Danio rerio: one gene and its partners. The protein of the gene in region 1 interacts with the protein of each later gene in a pairwise test. Links are inferred from orthologs where the notes say so. Each region holds a gene or a part of one and is shown in the gene's direction. Other genes may lie near its edges.

The links.
Region 2: the proteins of ccndbp1 (region 1) and pias2 interact in binary tests that used the Homo sapiens proteins (3 or more experiments, as listed by UniProt). The two-hybrid records come from large-scale screens. The link is inferred for Danio rerio from reciprocal best matches to the Homo sapiens genes CCNDBP1 and PIAS2.
Region 3: the proteins of ccndbp1 (region 1) and ilf2 interact in a two-hybrid assay, tested with the Homo sapiens proteins (2 studies listed by BioGRID and IntAct). The two-hybrid records come from large-scale screens. The link is inferred for Danio rerio from reciprocal best matches to the Homo sapiens genes CCNDBP1 and ILF2.
Region 4: the proteins of ccndbp1 (region 1) and imp3 interact in binary tests that used the Homo sapiens proteins (3 or more experiments, as listed by UniProt). The two-hybrid records come from large-scale screens. The link is inferred for Danio rerio from reciprocal best matches to the Homo sapiens genes CCNDBP1 and IMP3.

The regions. Positions count from the first base shown.
Region 1 is NC_133181.1:63,059,402-63,063,445, forward strand, and holds part of ccndbp1 (cyclin-D1-binding protein 1 homolog), read left to right. Parts: intron 1-532; exon of another isoform or gene 533-598; coding exon of another isoform or gene 599-686; intron 687-1,438; coding exon 1,439-1,498; intron 1,499-1,581; coding exon 1,582-1,661; intron 1,662-1,753; coding exon 1,754-1,835; intron 1,836-2,785; coding exon 2,786-2,882; intron 2,883-3,273; coding exon 3,274-3,347; intron 3,348-3,886; coding exon 3,887-3,963; intron 3,964-4,044. UniProt on the Homo sapiens protein: May negatively regulate cell cycle progression. May act at least in part via inhibition of the cyclin-D1/CDK4 complex, thereby preventing phosphorylation of RB1 and blocking E2F-dependent transcription.
Region 2 is NC_133180.1:42,368,327-42,373,011, forward strand, and holds the start of pias2 (E3 SUMO-protein ligase PIAS2), read left to right. Parts: upstream 1-1,450; 5' UTR 1,451-1,485; coding exon 1,486-1,509; exon of another isoform or gene 1,510-1,840; intron 1,841-2,506; exon of another isoform or gene 2,507-2,591; intron 2,592-2,934; coding exon 2,935-3,403; intron 3,404-4,685. UniProt on the Homo sapiens protein: Functions as an E3-type small ubiquitin-like modifier (SUMO) ligase, stabilizing the interaction between UBE2I and the substrate, and as a SUMO-tethering factor.
Region 3 is NC_133194.1:40,099,517-40,104,114, reverse strand, and holds the start of ilf2 (interleukin enhancer-binding factor 2 homolog), read left to right. Parts: upstream 1-1,450; 5' UTR 1,451-1,540; coding exon 1,541-1,545; intron 1,546-2,011; coding exon 2,012-2,071; intron 2,072-2,162; coding exon 2,163-2,205; intron 2,206-2,292; coding exon 2,293-2,397; intron 2,398-3,586; coding exon 3,587-3,664; intron 3,665-3,774; coding exon 3,775-3,877; intron 3,878-3,966; coding exon 3,967-4,032; intron 4,033-4,133; coding exon 4,134-4,250; intron 4,251-4,598. UniProt on the Homo sapiens protein: Chromatin-interacting protein that forms a stable heterodimer with interleukin enhancer-binding factor 3/ILF3 and plays a role in several biological processes including transcription, innate immunity or cell growth.
Region 4 is NC_133177.1:10,337,322-10,341,892, reverse strand, and holds the start of imp3 (U3 small nucleolar ribonucleoprotein protein IMP3), read left to right. Parts: upstream 1-1,587; 5' UTR 1,588-1,684; coding exon 1,685-1,821; intron 1,822-1,936; coding exon 1,937-2,044; intron 2,045-2,638; coding exon 2,639-2,713; intron 2,714-3,380; coding exon 3,381-3,460; intron 3,461-4,571. UniProt on the Homo sapiens protein: Component of the 60-80S U3 small nucleolar ribonucleoprotein (U3 snoRNP). Required for the early cleavages during pre-18S ribosomal RNA processing. Part of the small subunit (SSU) processome, first precursor of the small eukaryotic ribosomal subunit.

The DNA.
Region 1 (4,044 bases):
CCTGCCGCCCAAAATCATCCACACAGAGAAGACTAGATTCAGTTTATTTATTTAATCATCTTTTATTTATAAGTATTTTTATGATTAAACCCATACATTAGGATATATTAAGACACAAAAACTCCACAAACACCGTGTGGAGGCAGCTCGATGCCCTAAAATGTGTGTAACTTAAGCTTTAGTGTTGAGTCGCAGCAGCTGAACACAGAAGTTCTAGTAGATTAAAGCTGTTTCAGTCCAGTGTTCAGAGTTGAAGTTCTGCTTAGTTCAGTTCAGTGTGGTTAAATCTACACTGCTGAGAGTCCAAACAAACACTGAAGAGCAAATCCATCCACAGCTCCACAGGTCCCGAACCAGACAAGCCAGTGGCGACAGCGGAGGAACAAACTTCACCAATTGACCAAACTACACCAGTAATACAGAAGTAAACAATTATATTGGTTTAACACTTCAAAATGTATATAATTACAAACAAACATTCAAAAAGTATCAACCAAGCTGACTGTGCAGCGACGGATTCATTCCGGTCACACTCAGACAATATTAGTTCCGCTTGACTTTCGTTCCGCGGCTCCACGAAACTGAAGCAAAGCGCGTCATGAGCGGCGAAAACTCGCGTTCAGAAGCGCTGCTTCCGCTGAGAAACCTCTGGAACTCGGTGAAGTGCAGCAGGGATCGAGTGAGAGGTATGGTGGTCCTGTATTCCGTGTTTCATTGTGTATTTGAGCAGTGTTTGTGGGAATGCTAACGGCTAAACTTCCAAAACACTCACGAAAACACTTTAACCGGTGATAGTTAGCTGCTCAGAGCGCTAGTCATGATGTTTACTCTAGTTGAACAGATATAGTTAGCTGGTCAGAGTGTTACGCTAGTTTAACAGATATAGTTAGCTGGTCAGAGTGCTAGTCATGATGTTTACTCTAGTTGAACAGATATAGTTAGCTGGTCAGAGTGTTACGCTAGTTTAACAGATATAGTTAGCTGGTCAGAGTGCTAGTCATGATGTTTACTCTAGTTTAACAGATATAGTTAGCTGGTCAGAGTGTTACGCTAGTTTAACAGATATAGTTAGCTGGTCAGAGTGTTAGTCATGGTGTTTACTCTAGTTTAACAGATATAGTTAGCTGGTCAGAGTGTTACTCTAGTTTAACAGATATAGTTAGCTGCTCAGAGCGCTAGTCATGATGTTAACTTTAGTTTAACAGATATAGTTAGCTGGTGAGAACACTAGTCATGGTGTTTACTCTAGTTTAACAGATATAGTTAGCTGGTCAGAGTGTTAGTCATGGTGTTTACTCTAGTTTAACAGATATAGTTAGCTGGTCAGAGTGCTAGTCATGATGTTTACTCTAGTTTAACAGATATAGTTAATAGTAATTTGAATGAGATGTTGTCAGTGATGTGCTGAAGCCCACAGTGTTTCTGATTGTGTTTGCAGATGGAGAGTCCAACGACAGCAGCGGCACCTTCAGCTTGGCCAACTTCTGGGAGATTCTGAGTTCGTTCAGTGTTTGATTCTGAATCTGAATCATGTTCTTCTGAATCGCTGAATGACTCACTCCAGCTCTTCTCTTTCCGCAGATGAAGCTGTAAAAGCAGTGTCTCAAGAAGCGACTAAACTCAGCCTGATGTTCTCCAAGCCGCCACTGCCGTCAGACGAGGTGTGATTAACCCCCTTCTGAACATCACTATAACTATCCTGTCATTTGTCCATCAGTAATGCTGCTGCTGCTGTTGTGTTTCTTCGCTTTAGGATTGTGCAAAAATGGGGGATTGTGTGCAGAAGAGTGTGTTGACCTTGTGCACCGTTTACTTCTGGCTGCCAAAGAGTCAAGGTAACAGATATACACATACACACACACACACACACACACACACACACACACACACACACACACACACATGCTCAAGCTGTAAAAATGTATGAAATAAAAACACTATCGTAAATATTTAGTGCGTAATTAAGTAATTCTAAAAACGTAAAAGAAAACTGAGCGTAATCATAATTTTACAAGGATACTGAAGTCCAAAATCAAAAGCAGTGCAGTGTTCTGTGGTGTCTGTGTTCAGTATGAAGCTCTTCTGGAGCTGCTCAGCTGCATTTGCTCATTTGTGGATTACACAAACCGTCTCATGACCTCTGACCTGATTATTGAGAAACTCATTAGACTGTGTATGTGTGTGTGTGTGTGTGTCTGTGTGTGTGCGTGTTTGTGTGTGTGTGCGTGTGCATGTGTGTTTCTGTTTCTGTGTGTCTGACGTGTGATTTTGTGCAAATGTGTGTGTTTTTTTGTTTGTGTTTTCTGTGTTTGTGTGTGTGTGTGTCTTTTTGCATGTGTGTAATGTATGTTTGTGTCTTTTTTTCTGCATATTTGTGCATGTTTCTGTGTATGCGTGCCTGTACATGATGTATGTGTGTTTTTGTGCATATTTGTGTATACACGTGTCTGTACATGATTGTGTGTTTGTGCATGCATGTTTGTGTTTTTGTGTTTGTGCATGTGTGTGTGTATATATACACGTTTTTGTGTTTGTTTGGTTGTGTGTATTTCCGTGTGTATCTGTGCCATTTTGCATGTGTGTGTATTTGTTTATGTGTGTTTGTGTGTTTTTTTTGGTGCATGTTTGTAAATGTTTCTTTGTGTGTGCGTGCTTCTGTTTATGATTGTGTGTGTGTGTATGTTTGTGGATATTTGTGTATGCACGTGTCTGTACATGATTGTGTGTGTGTGTGTGTGTGTGTATATATGTTTTCGTGTGTGTGTTTGCGCGCACGTGTGTCCAGGAGTCACACTGAGGAGGTCTGTCAGGGACGCCACCGCTGAGGTTCTGGAGGGTCTGGTTCAGCTGCTGGATGTCATTCTGTCCTCACCTGGACAAAGGTAGAACTCGTCCTCTGAGGCCCTCGCTAGCTGTGTTTCCATCCACCTGTTTTTATGCACATTTTGGATTATTTCAGAAAAAAACACTTAATGGAAATCCAAGATGTGCATACATTTTGAAAATGTGCATAAAGTGAGTAGGGTAAACCTTGTGTCCAGTGAGAGAAACTGCAGATAAGCTGTGCTGTGATCAGCTGTAGTGAGTGTGCATGTGCGCCAGCGCTTCATCAGTGTCTGCTCTTCAGTGCTGTATCAGGATGATCAGATGATGATGGGATATAGTGATGATATGATGATCAGTCTGTGTTTATATACTGTTTAAACAACCTGTGTGTGTTTATAATCTGTCTGTGTTCATTTACTGTGTTTACATTCTCCTGTGTTCCCCCAGTGTCTCGCAGGAGCAGCTCACCTCCACCGGGAGTGTTTGGGCCGCATGTGACCATTTTGACCAGATACCCAAAGGTATCTAGAAACAACTTGTGCTGGAGTCCTTCAGTTCCGTCCATCATTATTTCTATAGCGCTTCTTACAGTGCAGATGAAGACTAGAGAATAAAAATGCATACAATATTTCAGATTGTCCGGCAGAGATGACTAGTGTTGCTAGTAAATTAAAGCTGCTTCTAAATCTGTAAGGTTGTGCATCCACATTCAAATGAGGGGTGTTTTAGTGCATGTAAAGCAGTCTCTGTGTGGCTCATTGAGACATCAGTGTTGTTTTGTAATAAAGCTCCTGCAACAGCAGTCTTGGGTTTGATGCCAGAGGAATGCTGGAACTGCTGAGCTGTGGGAATGCAGTCAGTTCTGCCAAACGATCATTTTTGTAAAATAATTAGCTCATCTCTGCAGGTGATGTGCACACATTGAGCTTTAAACACTGCAGACATTATACAGAGATGTGTCTAAATTAATATGTAGTTAACAAATGTGCACTACTTAAACACACCTTACATAATGTGAATAATAAGATGTGTGTGTGTATGTATATTGTGTTTCTGTCAGATAACCGCAGTGCTGTTCTGGCCGTCTTGAGCTCGTGTGTGGGTTTGGTGAAGGACGCTCTGGAGGAGATGCAGCAGGTTTATTTCTATATGTTGTGTGTGTGTATACAGGGATTATGTGTGTACGTGTTTGTTTATGTGTGTGTGTTATTACAGTGA
Region 2 (4,685 bases), on another chromosome or scaffold:
AAAAGCTAAATTGGTATGTTCACACTATAAAAACACTTAATCGTGAGACAAAATTCATTACAGTTCCTTAATGGTTCTCAAAGTTTTGGCTCCAAGACTTCATTTACAACATTTGGATGACTTTCAGTTGTTTAACATGTTAATCAGTTAAATGGGGCTTGGTATAGTTATGTATATAGTGTATACAACTATACACTACTATAATCATAAGCTGTATACTAAAACATAATATATATATTTTAGATATTTTTAATGATTTCCAACATCTACAAAGACAACATAAACAGTTGTTAATGTGTGGATTATAAAAAAGTTTTTATTTAACCATTTTAAATTCTCAAGGCTCCCTTAGAGTGACACGGTGGCTCAGTGGTTAGCACTGTCTCCTCACAGCAAGAATGTCGCTGGTTCGAGCCTCAGCTGGGTCAGATGGCAATTCTGTGTGGAGTTTGCATGTTCTCCCCATGTTCGTGTGGTTTTACACTGGGTGCTCTCCTTTCCCCCACTGTCCAAAGACATGCTATAGGTGTATTGAATGAACTAAATTGGCCATAGTGTTTGTGTGGGTGGGAATGTCAGTGTGTATGGGTGTTTCCGCTGTGTAAAACATATGCTGGATAATTTGGCGGTTTATTCCACTGTGGTGACCCTTGATTAATAAAGGGACTAAAAGCCAAGAAGAAAATGAATGAATGAATGAATGAATGAGGCCCCCTTAGAATTTTGCTGCCCCCTGGTGGAACACCACTAGCATAAACTAAATGGTCTCAAACTTAATTCCTGGAGAGCCACAGCTCTGCATAGTTTAGTTTCAACCACCTCCAACTCACACCTCTCTAGTAGTCTTGAATACCTTAATTAGTTGAATAAGCCATGTTTGATTATGGTTGGAGCAAAACTGTGCAGAGCTGCAGGCGACCCTCCAAGAACTGAGTTTGAGACCCATCTATGCTGTACAGCTTTTTTACTTCATCTTATTTGCCTTGGTGCTAAAAGGTTTGTTGGAATCACATTAGAGCTTACATGAGGACATACTCTCAGAAAAACAGTTTCAAAACACATTTCTAGTGGCGAAAGAGAGTACAGGAATCACACAATGCAAGTAAAAACGCTTCCAATATATCTGCGATATTTAGGATTAGATTATTGCAGATAACATTGCCACCCAAAAAGACTAATTAACAAACATAACATTGAACTAAAATGTTTATAAACAATTTGAACTGATTAACAGGATTTTACTTTTCGATGGCTAAATGATCTCCTCCTTGTGGAAAAATAATTATAATTTCGTTCACAGCGAAGGATTCTGTGGTTGATTACTGAATAACGGAAACTATTCCCAAAATATGGGTAAGGGGAAAAGCAAATCAGGGAACCTCAGAAGAAAATAAAAATGCACAAATGAACGACGTGACCCCTTTAACCAGCCTGTGTCACGTGACTCGACATCTCCGGACTAGCCAGGATGAGCGCAGCCAGAAAATGGCGGATATTGAGGAGTTACGGGTAGGCGAAAGTGCAATGATAGCTGGCTACTTCTTTGCGTCTTTCACATGCTGAAGGCATTTTGCAGTTGACGTTATGTTATGCTATTATGCCCGTCCGTTGGCCTTTGATGCGTTAGTTTCTTCATAGTTAAAAGAGAAACGCGACATCCCTCCGTTATTCGGGTTATGGTTAGCCTGTTAGCCACCAACCCGCTACTCGTTTAGCTCTCGAGATGCTACACAAACGTTGAAGATCAGCCTCAAAATGCCACTGCTTTTATTGCCACCATTGACTGCATGAAAACGCTTTATTATAATGCCTAACTGAACTTGACGACTGTTCGCTTCAGGTAAAAAGTTTTTACGTTCTTCACTGCTCGACTTGTTTTGGCTGGTCTTTTGTTAGCTAACGTTAGCGTCCGGCAGCTATTGACATTGTTTACATGTAACTTACACACAGGTGATGCTTGATTTATTAGAAGTGTTTGCAAGGGAGACATATGTTTAATCCAGCGTGTCCAGAGTCTCTTTGTGCGTGTAAATGAAAGTGAACGTGCGTTTTATATCATAATTGCTAAGTTAAACAATGGAAAATATACACACTGAGAATGTTGTTTACAAGCTCTAACTGTAAATAGTTTGCGGCAAACAAAACAAACTTGACTTCTGTTTCATATTTTCCTCAACATAAGCACTTTAGTAGTGTGATGCATACATCACTTTTCTGAAATTGAACGTATTCAGCTCCAACAAACGTTAACCATGCCATAAGAAAGGTATACTGTGTGTACTGGATACGTTAATGTTAGACACTTGCTGTTATATCTGTCATTACATAACTGACTGATTCATGCTGTCCTGTAAAGTGTTCAGAATTGTCCAGATTTGCTGTAAACCAAGTTTCCCGCCAGCAGTTCTGTTGATTTCTCTTGAGATCAACGTGAACATCTGTTTTGTTCTTTGTCATGTTCTCGATGTTCATCTAATGGGTCTTGGAATTATTCTCAACATTTTAGATGCATTTCGGTCATTTGTTAAGGATTATTAAAGAAAAAAGGATTAACACGTAAGAACAATCAAGCATGGACCGTGTAATGAAGGGTCAGTTGAGATTTTCTTATTTCTTTGGGGTTTCTTGAAAGGGTGTTTTTTGGGTGGGCTGTCACCTCACTTCACACATAATTCTTTGTTAATTAATCTGGTTACTAATTAAATGACACTTTTTGGTTTAAAAAAAACTGTCATAACCATTTTCCACAAGCTTATGCCATGTTGATTTTGATGCAAAGGTTTATGTCTTGCTAAAATCTTAAAACAAAAGTTGTAAAAGTACACAAAATGGCATAGAGGGTGGTTATATTTACTAACCTGTGGCAAATGTATTCTTACTAATGTGTGGTGTTTCTTTTTTTTTTTTGTTGCCTTGTCTGGATTTATTTTTCAGAATATGGTATCAAGTTTCCGTGTCTCAGAGCTCCAAGTACTGTTAGGTTTTGCTGGAAGGAATAAGAGCGGTCGCAAGCATGAACTTTTGCTGAGGGCTCTGCATCTACTGAGGAGTGGTTGTAGTTCTGCAGTGCAGATCAAAATCAAAGAACTGTATCGGCGGAGATATCCAAGGACATTTGAAGGTCTTCAAGATTTGGCGGCACTAAAGTCAAGCATTAAATCCTTCATTCATCTGGACAGCGGTGCCACGGCTGTAAGCTCAGATCTTACTCTGCCAACCGACCATTCAGACGTCCTGCAGCAGCGCCGGGAGAGCTGTGATTCACCTGTGTTTCATGAGTCAAAGCCCATGATGAACATGCAGCAGCCCACGACACTAATGGCCCCCGTCCATCCGGATGTGCAGATGAAGTCCTTACCGTTTTACGATGTTTTAGATGTCTTGATCAAACCATCAAGTCTAGGTAATTGTCACATGCTTGGTGAAATAAACAACAACACAGCAAAAAAATAAATAAAAAAAATCAATGCATTCACATTATAACTTTAAAGTTTAGCAACTGACTTTAGTTTTGGTGGTTTTGCAATTATTAAAAAGTTTTGGGTCAATGAGTTTTTTTTTATTTTTATAGATCAAAAGCGATTGTAATGACAATTTCAATTAAATGAAAAATTCACATTTTAAGCTGCTGTTCTTTTGAACATCTTTTGAAAAAAAAAAACATTCCACAAATATTAGCACAAGCTGGTTTCAACATTGATGGTAGTATATAATATATAAAAATAAATTGATGTTTTTTTTTTGTTGCATCAAATCTGCTTATTTTTCTTATAAGACTGAAGTCTGCAGTAATGATGCTGAAAATTTAGGCCATGTCCACACTAATGCGTTTCATTTGAAAACGCATATTTTTGTCTCCGTTTTGCCCTTCCATCCACACTGAGACGTGTTTTTAGGAAACAAAAACGTATCTTTTTGAAAACGCTCTCCAAAGTGGATAAATTTGAAAAAGACTTTTTCGTGTCGTAGTGTAGACTGTGAAAACGGAGTCTTTCGAAAACGATGACGCGTTTTTTGTCATGTGACACTCAGTCATGTTACTAATTCGTTTACTTTATTTTCGTTGTGATTATGATTTTAGTGATGTCGTCCTTACTGTGAGGGTAAGCAGCGTCATCAGCAGGATACTGTTCTTTAAAGCGGTCCAGTATATCGGCGTATTTGTTTTGGCACGTCTCCCAGTCTACATTTCCACTCTCTTTTGCAACTTTGTATTCATGTGTTACTCGAAGCAGCAACTCTACTTCATTGTCAGTCCATTTAAAAAACTATGTGCTTTTCCTTGACATTTTGCAGCAACGTTTCAAAGAGCCGGAAAGAAAATAAACGTCAGCCGGAAATGACGCTTGACGAAGCGTCTTACGTTTCACGCATGCGCAGTACAGGTTAAAAGCATTGGTAGTCGTTTCAGTGTGGATGACAAAGTTTTGGAAAACTAATAGAAACGTCAGTGTGGGCGTGAAGCGTTTTTAGAGGAAAACTCCGTTTTCAAATTTATCCGGATTAGTGTAGACATGGCCTTAGTTTTGCAATCATGAGATTGGGTTTAGGTAAAGGAGTTTGTGATCTTCATTGTCATGATTAATACATTTCTGGCAACAGTGGACCAATGTAGTATATAGTTTTCATTTAGAATTGTTATAATATTGAGTCCAATTGTTAAAAACTGCTTCATTTTCACAAAA
Region 3 (4,598 bases), on another chromosome or scaffold:
AAAACGTCTCTGCGTTAAACAGAAATTGGGGGAAATAAACAGGGGGCTAATAATTATAAAATATATATAAAACACTTTTAAAGTATTGTATTTATGTGCAAAAATTAAAGAGCCTAATTATTGTATTACTGTATTTGTTATAGACTTTTTTCTTTCTTTCTTTTCAGATTTTTCTCTTAAACTGAATTACAAATAAAATATATACATATAATCCAAAAACCTGCCTGGACACCTACCTAAGACATTTCACAAGAAACTGATAATATTCATATTAGATTATTACAAATATTCTTACCTTCTGTCTTATCACTGCATTTAGTTCTGTAGATGGATGTGTTGTGATGATGGAGGCATATTGCTGTAATAACAGTGGAGGTGACTGAACATTTAAAAAACAACCCTTATCTTACTTCAGCACATGCATTACATCTACGTAATTTGCGCAAAACTGCACAGCTTTGGATTTCCTGCGTTTGATTGGCTGTGGAATGTAACACAACTTCTGTCTGGTGTTCTCTGATAAAGGCAGTGTGAGGACTGTACAGGTCCACCCCTGACATGTCAAGTCTCCCCTGCAAGATGCATTTGAAGTGATTATTTATGGAAATAATATTTGTTGTTGTTGTTTTAATCCCTAAAGGTTTTAAATATATAAGACATAAAAGGGTGAAATAATACAGACCAAACTGTCTTCTCTTGTTTATTTAAATTTCTAATAGGGTTCCATAGCTAGGGTCGAACAATGTGGACCTGTTAGTGATGTGCTTGTTTGTTTGTGTATTATTTATTTCAAATGAAGTAAATTATCTGTGTTTGTATATTTCTAATCTTTACAAAACTATAGCTATCTTCAGCAAAGTATAACCATGTGACAGCAGCAGTCTAGATAGAGGTTAAGTTGGTTTTATATACGGAAATTCAGATATTCTCATTAATAATATAATTTCAGAAAGTATTCTTTGCAAATTCCAAATAGGGAAATCATATTAGCAGCAAATGACTATCAAAGTACAACATGGTTCACAGTGAATTAGATACTAATAATGTTGTTTAGAAGTCATGCTTGCATGCTAATTCAGATCGAACATTCAAAGTAACATAGTAAACTATGGTAATCTATCTAGAATGTTGTGATTTAATCCTTACAAAATTTTATGTATGCTATATGCTACTTGTTTGAGCTTATCCAAACAATAGAATGTTTTAAAAGCGAGTAGTTGTCATCCATACATTGTAATGCATAAAAATAGTATTTTAAATAATTTCATAGTTGACTTAAAGACAATAAAGCTGAATGTTAGATAGTTTCTCTTTCTGCTACTGTTATTTCCTCCCTAAATAAACTCGAAAAACCTTAATTCAACTGAGACTTTTACTATTGTGTGGGCTGCTATTTCGGGCTTTTATTCTAGGTGGTTATGCTGGATTTATGAAGTTACTTCCGTTTTCTGAAGCTAGCTACTCGGCGGCTATCTGCAGGCGGAGGCAGAGCTCTTCTCACCAGCGTGTGTCCTGTTAAACTGACAAAACGTCTTACGCAATGAGGTACGAACTGATTTATCATTTATAGTTAAACAATCTTTTTGATTAGGTTATAAACCGAATTATAGCAAAATACTGTATGTTGTGATATTTTATACATTTTTTTCAAAGATGCTAAGCTAACATGTTAGCATGTTCTGCTAGCCCCTTTGTCGGTTTTTAATCAATACAGTAACTAAATAAACACTTTTATTAGTAAAGTTTTTCCGGTTATAGTCATAATTCTGGATTTTCTATACATATTGTGTTATTTGCAAAACGATGTGTTCCTGAAAAAAAAACCGAGAGCGTTTATGAATGAATGAACGCCGTGCTTTTATTCGAACAATACTGCTATCTAATTTGTGATATTTATTTTTTTATTTGGGTTTTAAATTAAACTTTAAAAAATCCAATTTTGGGTTATCGCTGGACATCATTATTTATTTATTTGTATTGCACTTGCTGAAATTACGTTTTTATTTCTCAGAGGAGATCGTGGCAGGGGCCGAGGTGGCCGGTTCGGCTCCCGCGGAGGTTTGGTCCAAGGGTAAGATTTCATGACCATATTGTTTTGACCCCCTTACTTAAATTTGGTTATATTGTAATAATTTTGTAACCTGTGACTTCTCTTGTCTCAGGTATCGGCCCTTTGTCCCTCACATACCATTTGACTTCTATGTTGTAAGTACATTTATTGCTTTTCTGATTTGTGGGGAGGAAAAACAGCCTTTTTAAGCCCAGAGCTCATGACAACTTGCTTTTGTACAGTGTGAGATGGCCTTTCCTCGAGTGAAGCCGGCCTCTGATGAGACTGCTTTCAGTGAATGTCTGTTGAAGAGGAACCAAGACCTCAGTCCAACCCCCTCTGAACAGGTATGGTCATAAACTATTATGAAAACTGCACACTCCATGACTTCTGCCCTTTCATGCTAAAGGGATAGTTCACCCAAAAATGAATGTCGTTGACATTTACACTCGTTCAACTTGTTCCAAGCCTGTTTGAATTTCTTAATTTGGTTGAACACACCAAAAAATGCTGGTTTCCCATATTCTTAAGAATATCTTGTTTTGTGTTTAACAGAAGAAATTCGTTAACGTTTAGTACCCCTTGAGTGGGAGTAAATTATGGAATTGTAATATATATATATATATATATATATATATATATATATATATATATATGAGCAATTCCATGAAAATGTCAACCTTGCCATGAAAAGAAAAATGTTTTTCACCAAAATAGCGAAACCGTTCCTACATTTTTTGCGCAGGCAAGTGTTTTACAGTACTTTAAAAATACTTAAAAATGTCTCTGTCAATGTTTTCAAACTAATTTATTTGATTTACCAAAGTCAAACAAATGGCAATTTCACATCCGTCACATCCATAACGAAAAAGTGTCACATCCATAGCAAAGATTTTCCCTCAAAAATGCAAAAATGTCAAAATAAAATAAAATAAATCAGTTTTGTTCTATAAAGAGCCAACTCTTATCCTTTTGTTGAGAATTATTTATTTTAGGTTGTGCAGTTTAATTCACAGATTTTTTTTAACGAAATAAGTTGTATACTGTAAACTCGCAGACTTTTTTTGTCACATCCATAACACTTGTTTATTTTCCTCATTTAAAGTATAAAAATGTTCACAGATTGAATTTTTTTGATCCCAGAACTCTGTGGTTAGTTGTTTTGGAAAATATAAACGGATGATTCAATATAATGTTAAAATATACTTTCTCTGCAAATTTATGTTTTGAATTTTTACTGCAAATGTCACATCCATAACGCTGGAATCAGCCCTATATATATATATATATATATATATATATATATATATATATATATATATATATATATATATATATATATATATATATTATATATATCCGATAAGGTCTCAACATCCTCTATTAATTTTTAAAGATTGTGAGCTGTTACACATTTGGTTTTGACCTAGAATAGATGCATAAAATGTGATATTGTATTAGGAGTGCAAAAGCAAACCAATTTTTGATTGCATTATTAACAAATTACAGCAAATTTTTTCTTCATTTTTGTCACAGGCTTCCATTTTGTCCTTGGTCACCAAAATTAACAACGTCATTGATAACCTAATTGTGGCACCTGGAAACTTTGAAGTGGTAAGATATTTCAGTAAAACATTATTATTATTATTATTAATGCCTTTCAAAATATTTTATGTATATGTTTTTAGACTTATTTAATGAAAGTTTGATAATCCCTTTTTCAGCAAATTGAGGAAGTAAGACAAGTGGGCTCCTATAAAAAGGGCACCATGACTGCAGGACACAATGTTGCTGACCTTGTGGTTATCCTGAAGATTCTGCCCACCTGTAAGTCTTGAGATTTCTATGAGGCCAACATGTTGCTCCTAGCCCAAGTGTACTTGGTTTATCAGTAATGTTTACGTGTTCTTGTTCAGTGGAAGCTGTTGCCGCCTTGGGAAACAAAGTTGTTGAGACCCTGCGAACCCAGGACCCTTCTGAGGGTGAGTATAGGCTTTAATCTGGCAGACCTGTAGTTTCAGGGAGGGAAAAAAAATCCGACTTGCTTGCCATTCTCACTGATGCATTTTCCTCTTCTCCCCAGTGTTGTCCATGCTGACAAACGAGACTGGATTTGAGATCAGCTCTGCCGATGCCACAGTAAAAATCCTCATCACCACTGTCCCACCCAATCTGCGCAAACTGGACCCAGAGCTTCATTGTATGTCACACTCTTTTAAACATTGATCTTGTTTGTGACTTGCGTTAAAAAATGATAACTTTTCTTGGAGATGTAATCTACCTAATTATCACTATAGCACTCTTTATTGTCAGTACTGTGCACACTTGTTTTGTCTGTTTGCATTTAGATTATCTTTCTATGATTTAATGGCCATTAACAATTTAACACTGATAAGAAAGTCTTTACAAATGAAAAAACGTCCCCCCCCCCCATTATATACATTTACAATTTTCATTTATTTGTAAAATTTTAAGCAATTTTATTGTTAATACTTTTGTTTTTAGTAATTTGCAGAGGTTTAGTATTGGGAATGTATTATTATTATTG
Region 4 (4,571 bases), on another chromosome or scaffold:
ACTGGTACAACAAGAAACATTAATATAAAAGGGCTGTAAAAGTTTTCAAGAATTCAGCTTCTGTTTTCACTAACTACTGCAAACCACTGAGCCACCACACCGCCTCTGCTGTTATCAATTAGGTTTTATTGATATGGAAATTAATGAGAAAATAAACAATTATTGTGCTTTAAATTATATTTGCATATTGAATGTAAATCTTTACATTGTACATTGTATTGGAGGAGTGAATGGAGTGTAGGAAGCAACTCAAGTTGAACACCTTAATGATACAGATTTTTTTTTTCAGAATAAGGTAAATAATTAGATACACATGTTATTTACATTATTTAATTATACAGATGTTCACATAAATGTAGAAATACTTAGGGCTGTGTTTTTATTTCAAACAGTCAATGAGCTCTATTATATGGACTTTTAAAGGATATACTAGACTGAGACTCTGAAGAGAAGGCAAAATGGGGATGCCAATGAGTACATCAGAGGGTTTCTTAAAGGGGCATTTACCACATGATGGGGTGGACAGCAATTTCAAGGACACGTGCAAAATGATTAATAATATTATTAAAAAGAAAATTAAATTTATTGAAATTTATTTTTTTGTCAAATAAAGACTCTGTTGCATACAGTCTGTATTAATGATATTACATATAGTTCAAGTTCCAACACTTAAAAAAATATATGAAAGAAATTCCCCAGAGCACATTCTCACTATCACCATCAAGATATCAAATTTCTTTCTCTCTTTATTTCAACACACTCGCAAAGCTAAAACGTTTGTTCGTAGTTTATAGGTTTCTGGTTCTAAATTCCAAAATCAAACTTTCTGTCAGCTTTCCGCGCATAAAGTAGGCTACATGAACGTCCTTACATTTAAATGAAAATCGCTGTCATGATTGAATTTCCAAGTAGCACAGGCTATTATAATGTTCGTAATGTCTGTAAAGAGCTTTAATTTGTACTGTACCCTACCTGTTCGAGGCTCACACACGCCGTCCAATGGATGGATATGATCGCCATTTCTTATAAACATTCACTTCCTTTACCTCACTTTCTGCAAAGATGAAACTAAGGTTTGATAGTGATTTATGTCGTGTCGGTTTTCCTGTCATGTGAAAATACATTTTTTCCCCCAGTGACATCTCCTGATGACTTAGATCAATTATAATACGTTTACGTCAGCGCAAAATCTGTCTAATTTGATCAGTTTACATACTGCAAAGCTGCGAGTAGCCAAAGTTTTGAAATGAAAATGTATAGTATATTTTGCTACTTAATTTATTGTTTTACTGTTTATTTGGCCATTTTATTTGTTTTGTGATTTTTTATTATTAATATTATTATTATAAAGTTATAATTTTAAGTAAAATGTGTTATTTGACAGGCTGTGTTGTTTGATCAGTTGGATTCTTTATCTGTTAAAGTCGCTCTGGATAAAAGCGTTAATTAATTAATAAATTAATAAATAGATTAATTGATAAATGTATTTATTTATTTATTTGTTTATTTATTTGTTTATTTAAAAATTATAGTGTTTCCCTCCTGAACACTGTGCGGCGATATCGAGCTTAACAGCTACGTTTTTACAGAAAACCACAGTGAATAAAAAGCACGCGTGCGTAAGCTGAAGTGAGCAAGTTATTAACACGTTTAGCCATAAATATAGCCCGTGTTTTTTAGCAAAATGGTACGTAAATTAAAATTTCACGAGCAGAAACTCTTGAAGAAAGTTGATTTTATTAACTGGGAGGTTGACAACAATATACACGAGGTTAAAGTGTTGAGAAAATACCATATTGAGAAGAGGGAAGATTATACCAAGTGAGTAAAGAAAATGCTTCTATCAATGACTGTGTTTCTCTGAAGTTATGGGTCTAATACATCACTGTGAATAAAACGCGGCTTATCAATTAATGCATTCGTGATTTCTCTTTAGATACAACAAACTTAGTCGAAATATCAGAGAATTGGCGCAGAAAATACGGGACTTGGACGCAAAAGATGGATTCAGATCTCAGAGTACAGCCCTTTTCTTGGAAAAACTGTAAGTTTGGGAACCTGTCACATTTTATTGTCATGAATATACAGAAATTGTTTTAGTTTAGAATATATAAAAGCATAAGCGATAATAGACAAGTTTATTTATATAGCAGATTCCATACACAAAGGTAATCTAAATACTTTACATAAACATGAATAAAAGAAAGAAGAAAAGAAAAACAGCAAAGAATAAAAATGATTAAAAACAGGTTTAAAAGGAATCTTATGAACTTTATTATATTTAAAGTTATTTGTTTGTTTGACGAAATTTAATTTGTATTAAATCTTAAGTCTATTAATGTTATTTAATAATTCTAAATCTAACTATACTCGAAACAAGATTTTATTTCTATACAAACTATTGTAATACATGTTTATTAGCGCTATCTGTAAGTCATGGTAAAATTTATGATAGATAAAATAGATGTCTTATATTTTTTGTTCAGAATAAAAATTGTACAGTAAATAAAATGTGAATCTGTATATTATTCCGATTTTTAAAAGCTTGTTGACCTTGGTTTTTTGTGTACACCTCATTCTGTAAGGAGTTTACTAAAGTTTTAGTAGTTTCTACATTTGTAAGATTTCTGTTTTGCAGATACAGTGTCGGTTTGATTCCCACCAAACAGAACCTCTCTCTCGCAAATGAAGTGTCAGCATCTGCATTCTGCAGGTGAGTAAAGTTACTGTGCTTTATTTAATTATTCCAATATGTTGATTTGATAATCAAGAAACATTAATTATTAATGTTTAGGGTCCCCATGCTTTCGTGGACACCAGATTCAAAGACTTATTAAATCACTAATCATTTTAAATTAAGCACCTTTAAAATTTGCACCTCCAGCATACATACATACATACATACATACATACATACATACATGCATACAAACACATATATAGTGCCATGAAATAAAGCCCTTCATGTACTTTAGAGTAATGATGATGTTTTGAATGTGCTACTCTGTTTTAAACAGTCATGTTCAAAGAACTTTAAAACAATTTGATGAATTCAATTCTGGTAATCTTCAAAAGCGGTTTCTGAAATATTGTTGTGCATTATTTTTCATAGTTCTTGTACTAGATTTAAATGTAAGGTTTTTAAATAAAAAAATTCTTTTTTTGTTGTTGTTGAGTTTTTGAAAGCAGCACCGTACATTTGTTGAAATGACACCATAAACTTTCAATTCAAACATTCAAATTTCAATATATTTTTTGATTTGAATAATAAAATAATTTACACAAGTCCTGCACACTGACAACTAATATGTGAGTGTTTTTATGCAGTGCAGGAGATGCAGACAATTTTTGAATGTTGTTCAATGTTGTCTTTTCTACAGGAGGCGGCTTCCCACAATCATGCTGAAACTGCGCATGGCTCAGAACCTAAGGAACGCCATCACCTTCATTGAGCAGGGCCGTATCCTTCAATCACAAGTCTTGCTGATCTCTGCATATGTTCATATTCTTATATTTAAATGGGTGGATGATGTCGTTTTGATCAAAATCAGGCCAAAAGGAAATTAGTTTGGAGTTTAAAATGGCTAGGCAAATTGAAGTTTCTGGAAAAGTTGATTCACCTGCTAAATGCCTCTAAACTGCTCTTGTTTACACCTGGTCACTACATGCATTTTTTCTGTGATCGGATAGCTAAATGGCCCTTAAAACGCATTTGAGACTGATATAAATCAGATTTGCTTAGACCATTTCCTATGGTGGTTTCCAGACAAAACGTGTCTAAATGAATTTCCTAAAATTGGTTTAGAAAAGAGGGGATTAAAGTCAAAAACCTGACTTCAATGAGCCGAACTAAACATCCACGCTTAAATTGGTTCCATATCAGAAAGTTGAAGATCATTTGATCTAACTAATCTGAGTTCAGTGTAAATAATGTAGATAGCTGTTCGTGCACATTACTGTCGCGAAACCCTGAAGGTTGAGCATAGATGCATCCTAGAGATAGTTGTGTGTAAAAATCCCTATAGCTCAGCAGTTTCTGAAATACTCAGACCAGCCTGTCTGGTACCAACAACAATACCACGTTCAAATCACTTAAATTACCTTTCTTGCCCGGATTCATCAACCGGTTTGCAGCTTTAAAGTCATTCTTTAAGAAATGTAGCCTACTTCTTTATATCAGTCAGTGCTTTCTTAATATATTTTTTATTTAATTATGTAATTCATATGCTACATAAATATAGCAAAGTACACCCCTCACAGATCAATATTTTGAATTAATATATCTACAAAATGCTTTATGTTTTTGCATATACATTAAATTATTCAGTACCAAAGCAAAATTTGGAATAAATCTAACAACAAATAAACTAAAGATCACAGTTCAAAAATTTGTACACATAATTAATATGTTGAGAGAAAATATCAAGTAAAATTTTAATTAACAGGACAAAAATCAACATAAACATTAAAAAAATGGAGTTGATGTTGTAGTTTGTATTTGTCTTGTTTGCAATAATGTATATATTGTTCTTTTCTTAAAGATGTTTGGTGTATATTAGGGATGTAACGGT